Linked DNA regions of Drosophila melanogaster. The protein of the gene in region 2 purifies or fractionates together with the protein of the main gene of each other region. This does not show direct contact. Each region holds a gene or a part of one and is shown on either strand. Other genes may lie near its edges.

The links.
Region 1: the proteins of Mps1 (region 2) and Mad1 purify together in Drosophila melanogaster (affinity purification with western blotting; 2 studies listed by BioGRID, with this or other methods). This does not show direct contact.

What each region holds. Positions count from the first base shown.
Region 1 is NT_033778.4:9,289,547-9,293,301, reverse strand, and holds the start of Mad1 (mitotic arrest-deficient 1), read left to right. Parts: upstream 1-1,736; 5' UTR 1,737-1,844; coding exon 1,845-1,965; intron 1,966-2,021; coding exon 2,022-3,076; intron 3,077-3,129; coding exon 3,130-3,755.
Region 2 is NT_033777.3:17,669,621-17,673,375, forward strand, and holds the start of Mps1 (monopolar spindle 1), read left to right. Parts: upstream 1-1,650; 5' UTR 1,651-1,750; coding exon 1,751-1,947; intron 1,948-2,229; coding exon 2,230-3,237; intron 3,238-3,300; coding exon 3,301-3,755. Other genes in the region: CG7523 (uncharacterized protein), read right to left, coding at 1-6, 446-722, 785-917, 1,035-1,177.

The sequences.
Region 1 (3,755 bases), on a different chromosome or scaffold from region 2:
ACGTAAAGAACAAAATATCTACAAAGACCAAGTCAAAGAAATATTAAAATATATTATAAATTTTACTTTGTTCAAATTGCATGTTATTAAAAAAAATCTATTACCTAGTATTATTTTTGATTATTTTGTTTCTACTGCTTAATTAAAAAATTCATTCCTACAGAGAATAATTATTTGTTACACGCAGCATTTTTATTATTAAGTTGTAGTGTTGGGTTAAACTTCTTTGGAAAAATATGACATAGGGTTAACTGTTTTAATGTTGGGAGAGGCTAACACCGTTGGTTGCAGATGTGAATGATGGGGGATGGTGATGAAGTGAGAACAGCTGATTTTGGCAAAGTAACTTGCGGTACCGTGGTGATCGGGAAAACTAAAACGGTTAAGCCGTAGTTGCCGGCTTTGCTTTGCTTTTAGCACGTTTGCACTTACCTCTCTGGCCATTACGACATGTTATCACCAGCGGCACCCGCTTAGAGGGTCTGCCATTTGCTCAGCGGCAATAACAACAAAAACAACACGGGAGCGCCTCTTAGAGCGAGGGAGTGGGAGAGGCAACAACAAAGCACACGCTTTTCGCGATACGAGAACTCTCGTGCGTCTACTTAAGTATGTGTGTGTGTAGGCGGCAAGCGGTATAGACGGAGAGACAGAGAGAAAGAGTGTGGGAGGAGTGTGTGCGTGTGAGTGTCTCAAAAATTCTCTACTACACGTTTATTTTCAATCTTCTCTTCCCGCACATTTCTCCAACGCGCCGATGCTGTTTCGTTCTTCCTCTTGCTTTTCTATCCTGTCCTTTGGCTTCCTTTCCTTCTTCCTCTCCACACCAATCACTGCGTGGGTATGTGTGTATAGGTGTGTATTGGAATTCGCAAAGGTATTTGATTAGGAAAGCTGGGATTTGTTTAAACAATTAGCATGCATCACTTTTTGCAAATTTGTTACAGTAACTTGGGTCAACCCACGCCCACTTTTATAGGTGCGGCTGTTGGGCAGGATTTGCTTTTTGGCAGTGGTGGTGGTGTACGTGTGCGGGATGCTTCTGTGTGCGTGCGAGAGAGCACATTGGAGTACCGTTATCGCTGGAGCCACATTTTCTTATTTGACATACACTTTTTTGTTGCACACGCACACGCGTTTCGTTGTTTTTTTTTTGTTACTTTAGTAAAATTTATTTTCTATACTCTCTTTCTTGAAAGCTTTCTTTTAACCGTTTTTTGTCCTTATCTCTTGGTATGTACGACACACACGCTTCACATACGTTCTAGTTTTTGGCAGTTGTTCAATTGTTCGAATTAATTCCGATTTCGGAATTTGTTGTTTTAACGATTTATGAGTTTTTTCGGTGCGGAAACAATAACATTTAATTCATTTTAAGCCGAGAAGAAATGCAAATCAATTTTTATTTTCGGCAACACTCGAAGAACTATCGTTATCGATTGCGATTTCTTTTACCTGTAGTATTTCGTGTAACATACTTTTGGGTGGTGCAGAAAAGAGTCACGCTCGAATATACTAAACTGGGCTGCCAACTTAGCTTTTGATTTGTTTTCTTGATTTTATATTAACACACCAAATAAAGAAATTGCTTAAGACAACTGTCCCTTTTAAGATATTATTTCCCAGATTAATATACGTATATTTGATTATTGGTGACAATTTTGGATACAAAAGCCAAAGTTATCGGCCACTTTAATACTAATAAAATATGACCAATATTTGGCATTTCTTGTCTAAATATTTGCAGCCACTCTAAGATTAATATTTTACCAACTTCTTTTAGCAATAAAAAGTAAATATCTTTACTGAAAACGTCAACTAAGGTCTCCCACATACAACTTAAAATGGACGACATACGTAGCAGCATAGATGATATGATGGACCGCTTTAACGACAGCATTACCCATTCGGCACCCAAGAAACTACTTTTCAACCGGCTTTCCGCCTCCTTCGATTTAGGAGTTTGTAAGTTGTAATTTACAGGCGCGAACGTAGAAACTAACAAGTAACTCCTCTACTAGCACCCAATAAGCGACGTCGGGAACGGGAATCACCGGAACGCAGTCTTAACGACACCGCCTCTTCCCTCAATATGCCCGCCAACGATTCCATGGCTTCTTTGCAGAACAGCAAACTACGGACCGAGCTGATCGAAACCAAGGCCATAGTAATTCAGCTGCGTAACGAAATCGAAAAGAAGAGCCGGGAACACAAAGAGGCCATATTGCTGGCTGAGAACAAGAGCACGGCCTTAAAGGATCAGTGCGACATCACCAGCAAGAAGAATTTGGAGCTGCAGGACGATCTTAAGGCGCTTCGTAAGCGAGAGCTGGTCTTGAAGAATGAGGCCAGTCGGGCCACCGCCGAGTTGAACCAACTTAGGCTTAAGTTCGATGAATCCACGCTCAAGTTGCAGAAGGAGAAGTACCTGCAGAAGGAGGATGCCCGCGATGTGCACCTGTGCATCAACAACGAACTGAGCGAATATCGCCGCATAGCCCAGCGGGCCGATCTCGAACTGCAGTCTACGCGCAACGAACTGGAGCGCCTACGTCAACTCAATGAGGAGTTACAGGCCAGGGCTTCCGGATTCGAGCAGCTGCGCGCCAATCACGAGAAGCAAACGCAAAGCTTGAAGGTGGCCAACGATCGCATTCAGGAGCTGGAGTTCGAAATTCAGTCGTATAGCGACTGGAAGGAGGTGGTCAAAACCTCACGAGAGCGCCTGGCCAGTGTTCCAGATTTGCTAGCTGAGGTGGAGCATCTGCGCAGCCACAACAAGCATTTAAACACTCTGATAGGCGATAAATTGCTTCTGGAGGAGCAGGTCTACGACTACAAAACGCGACTGGAGCGGGAGGAAGGTGCTCGGGCGGAAGCAGCTTCCCTGCAGGTGAAACTGCTTCACATGGAGCAAGAACTCAAGGAATGGGTCAAGGTGGCCCAGGATCACTGCTTGGCCAACACTTTGGTCAGCCCAATGGCCCTACGCTCGCGCATTGAGCAACTGCTAAAAGAAGACATCATTCACGTGGCAGAGAAGACATCATCGGCTTCGGATACCAAGCATTTGAATGTAGGTTTTGTCCAATGTGTTCCAAGTCCAATTTATCTGACTCCATTTTATAGACCACAATTCGAGATCTAGAGCATAAGTGCGCCATTTACTTGAAGAACATCGAGGATCTCAATATCGGACTGAAACGCCACAAGAACTTCAAGGAGCGACTGCAGCGCAAACTGATCACCGTGTCTAAGGAGCGCGACTTCTACAAACAACTGGTGGAAAACTTCGACAAGGACACGACCCTGAGCAATGCCAGTGTGGCGGACATGACGCAGGACATGCAGGTGCGGGTCCGAATGGAGGTGCTTGAACGCACCGTAACCGGATACAAGGACATGTGTGCCACGTTGGAACGCGAGATTCAATCCTTGCGCCAGCAGGAGCTTGTGAACGAACCTGCCGGAGAGGGATACGATAGCGTCAAAAAGGAACTGGATACGCTGCGGATGGAAAACGATCGGCTGCGTCGGCGCAAGGAGGAACTGGAGATGGAGATGATGCACCGCTGCTTGCGGGGCGACTTCAACATGAAGGACTTCAAGGTGGTACACTTTAGTGAAAATCCCGCTGCCGAAGCCTATGAGTCCACCAAAAACATGATGGAGAAGCTGCAGGCGGAGATTGAGCGACTCAAGCGGCGCAACAAGAAGTTGGAGGACGATAACGAGCAAAGGCTCAATGAAACCAC
Region 2 (3,755 bases):
CCTTGTCTGAAATGGGTAACGAATTTTTAGCCATGTCTATGACAACTTTTATACCTGAAATTACTTGGTTCTTAATCAAAAATCTTTCGCTTTGGAACCATAAGAAAGAACGAACTTAATTAGTGGCTGTACTGAATCACTTCAATTTTAAATACCTGGATTATTTAAGCGGCTCTGACTCATTTTTTGCGTATTACAATTGCTTGCAAGTCACTTAATCAGTTTAAAAAAAATACCTAGCCATCCCGACTACTATATTATGTCATTATATAAACTATTTGAATAAAATGTTGCCCATCGTCATTTCAATATATATACACACAGATATATTAAAAAAATGATGATAGCTCGATCTGTCATAAAATAAAATAAAAATAAAAGTCATACCATGACACTAAGTAGATTCCCTCACTATCGCTGACTAGATACTATGTTACTTCATTACCAATATATAAGCTGTGGGAAACGGCCAGCACCAGATTCTCGGCCACGGTGAAGGCGGTCACATAGCTGACCGGCGACAGCCACCCGGCGGCGCAATGTTCCCAAAAGTTCTCCGCATAGAAGTGGTGGATTAGGGCCTGGACAGCAAGCAGCATGGAGTTCCACAGGGATACCAGCTGAAGGGGAATCCCCTTCTGCATGTTAGTCTCGCGGTGAAAGTCGTGATAGCCCTGCATGCGTAGATTGTCGTGTTGCTTCTTTACGAAGTGATCGAAGAGCTGTAAAAACCGTTGACATTGAGGCAGGTCGGGATTGACAGACTGCTGATTGGTATATTTACATATGTGATGACCCAGAAGGTGGCCCGTAGGTAGAGCATTATAAAGTATGCATCGCAGCGCCGATCGGTTGGAAACGAGGCTGCAAGTACGATCCCCACAATGGAGATTGCAGTGGAGATAACCAGATGAAGGCTACGGGTGGACAGAGAATGGATTAAATTATGTGCATTATCGGTCGTTTGAAAGCTCCATGGATGATTCACTGCCGCCGGCTGAGGTCTCTCCCCCGTACACCGCATAAAATCTCACCTAAATGCGGGCACTGTATTTAGCTTGTAGCTTCCATTGTCGTTGGAGAAGAGGACGGGGTCCAGGAGCTGATCCGTGTCGTGGATGTGCGCTGGGGACACGCCCGGTTGGACAGCGGCGCCTCCAGTTGCTGGTTGCTCCATTTGCTCTGCTCTAGAATGCGTAGTTTTCGAACTATTGCTGCTTTGTTTATTTGTCGGCAGGAAAACAACACTTATTTTCCTTGGATGTGGCAGCACTGCCAAAATATTGCTTTTTTCAGGGTGGCAGCTCTGTGATGACCATGAAAAACAAGACAACCCTAAAATGTAAACAATAAACTTACTGTTAGAATTTGAATATCTAATTTATTTATTTAAGCCATTCTTACTTTTAAATCATTTTGATGTATTTTATACATCACTCTCCCTCACTCAAAGAGTGTGCTTTTATATTTGCTTGTTGTCAACACTAAATTATAATTTAGGTAGTTTTCAATATTTCTTAATTTAAAATATTAAACATTTATTTAAATCCTCATTTTCGTTTAATTATTTTAAAACTTAGCCTTCGGCTACTTAAGTTTTATTAACTATTAAAGGCTTCATTCAGCGCGCTTTGGATGTTTTAAATTTTGAACTTTGGTCACACTTGAATAAAAAATAAATTTAAACCCCGCATTTGATTTGCAATTGGATATTTAACTATTTGTCGGGCAGAATAAATCGGGTTGCAAGATGACCACGCCTGTGCCCCGCCGCACCAAGGACATGATGGCACTGGGACTGGACTCCGACTCCGAGGACGACTTTAACACGCCATACCGACCACGACAAGCGGCGGCGGGAGAACGAAAACAGCAGCCGGTGGCGTCTTTCCAAGTCCAAACGAGGGGCAAGGAGAACGAACCGCATCCCCTGCCCATAAATATGCTGTAAGAACTGGGACAGCAATGTCCAGTATCGCATGACATCTCCTGTTCTCCATACATAAGTCCTCCTGAGTCTGCAAGGATCTAATTTTCCATGAATTCTTTCAGGAATCCTAGATCTTTTCTTTCCAAATTGGTCTGTCCATCGAAACTAACCTGTATCTTCTAGGCTTAGTATATACCCTAAAAGTTAATCTATATTAACCCACAAGTCGAGGGATTTTTGTTACAAGATCACCTAGAAATGTTCATTACTTCTACATACAACGTTTTTATCGATTCTAGACCTCGCCGAGTGTCCGAGTTGACTATGATGGATTCGGACAGTGACGAGGAGGACATCAAGAGCAATCACAACCTTAACTGCGCCATCCTAAACGATTCCTTTGTGCTGAGCCCATCCCAAGAGTTAACAAACAGCAACAGCAACATAACCACTCGTAGAACACCAAGTGCCGCCCCCCTTAAGCAATCCGATTCGAATCTCTCGTTCCTGGGAAGATTCAACGACATGGGCATCAATTGCAGCAGTCAAGGATCCCCTGTTGCGAATTCGGAAAAACAGGTGGCCAAAAAGACAGCACCCACGCTTCAAGCTGCACCAAGTGCCACCGAAAGGCGCCCACTCCAAGAGACAGAGACGCCACTGCGTAATGAATTACCCTCCACCTCGAAGACGAAGCCGGATGCAGACTTCATTACCCCCCAAGTACGAACAATTGGTTCCACACTGGCGGGAAAAAGTCGGAGTGCGGTGTCCAATGACTTCCGTGCGCAGAAAGTGCTCTTCCAAACACCTATGACCGTGAGTCGTGCTGCTCCAGTGGCCTCCGATAGCATAAGCTTCTCCCTGTGCGACACCATCACAGAAAGCCCGGACATTCCGGAGCCTCCGAAAAAGGCAGAACCACCAAAGAGTCAGCATCCTTCCAAAAAGTCCCTAGATCATGTTTTCCGGGAGTCGGACAAGGATAACGTGCCAGACAAAGTGGATAATGTGGAACCAAAGGAGCTGGTATCGATTCCCGCAGTTGCTGTACCTCCAGAGCAGCCTTCCCACAAGACATCTAATATTTTAAAAATCAAGAATCATGAGTATACGATTGATAAGAAACTGGGCTGTGGCGGCTCCAGCTCTGTTTTTTTGGCACGCCGATCGGATTCCGGAAATGAGTTCGCCCTGAAGGTGGTGGATCTGCAGGCCGATCCACAAGTGGTGCAGGGATATCTAAACGAAACCAAACTTCTGGCAAAGCTACAAGGGAACGTTTGTGTTGTGGCACTTTACGATTAGTAAATATTTCTAAATACTGACTTCTTGTTAACGTCACTGTTTAAGTACTTTTTTTTCCTTAGTCAACTTGTGCGCGAGGAGTCCAAGCTGTACATGGTGATGGAGAAAGGTGACTGCGACTTGAACAAGATCCTGCAGAGCTACACCACCAACCTTCCTCTCTATAGCCTGATGAACATCCTGTACCAAATGCTGCAAGCGGTCAACTACATTCACCAACACGGTGTCATCCATTCGGATCTCAAGCCGGCAAATTTCCTGATGGTCAGCGGCAGACTGAAGTTGATCGATTTTGGCATAGCCAGCAATATCGCTGTGGACTCGACGAGCATCATCAAATTCTCGCAGGCGGGCACCTTTAACTACATTAGTCCGGAGGCGTTGACGGACACCTCCACGGGGAATAGCCCGATGCGCAGAGCCGATCAGCCGAAGATCAAGATCTCGACCAAATCGGACGTGTGGTCGCTGGGCTGCATCCTTTACCTGCTACTCTACCAAAAGACACCGTTCGGCC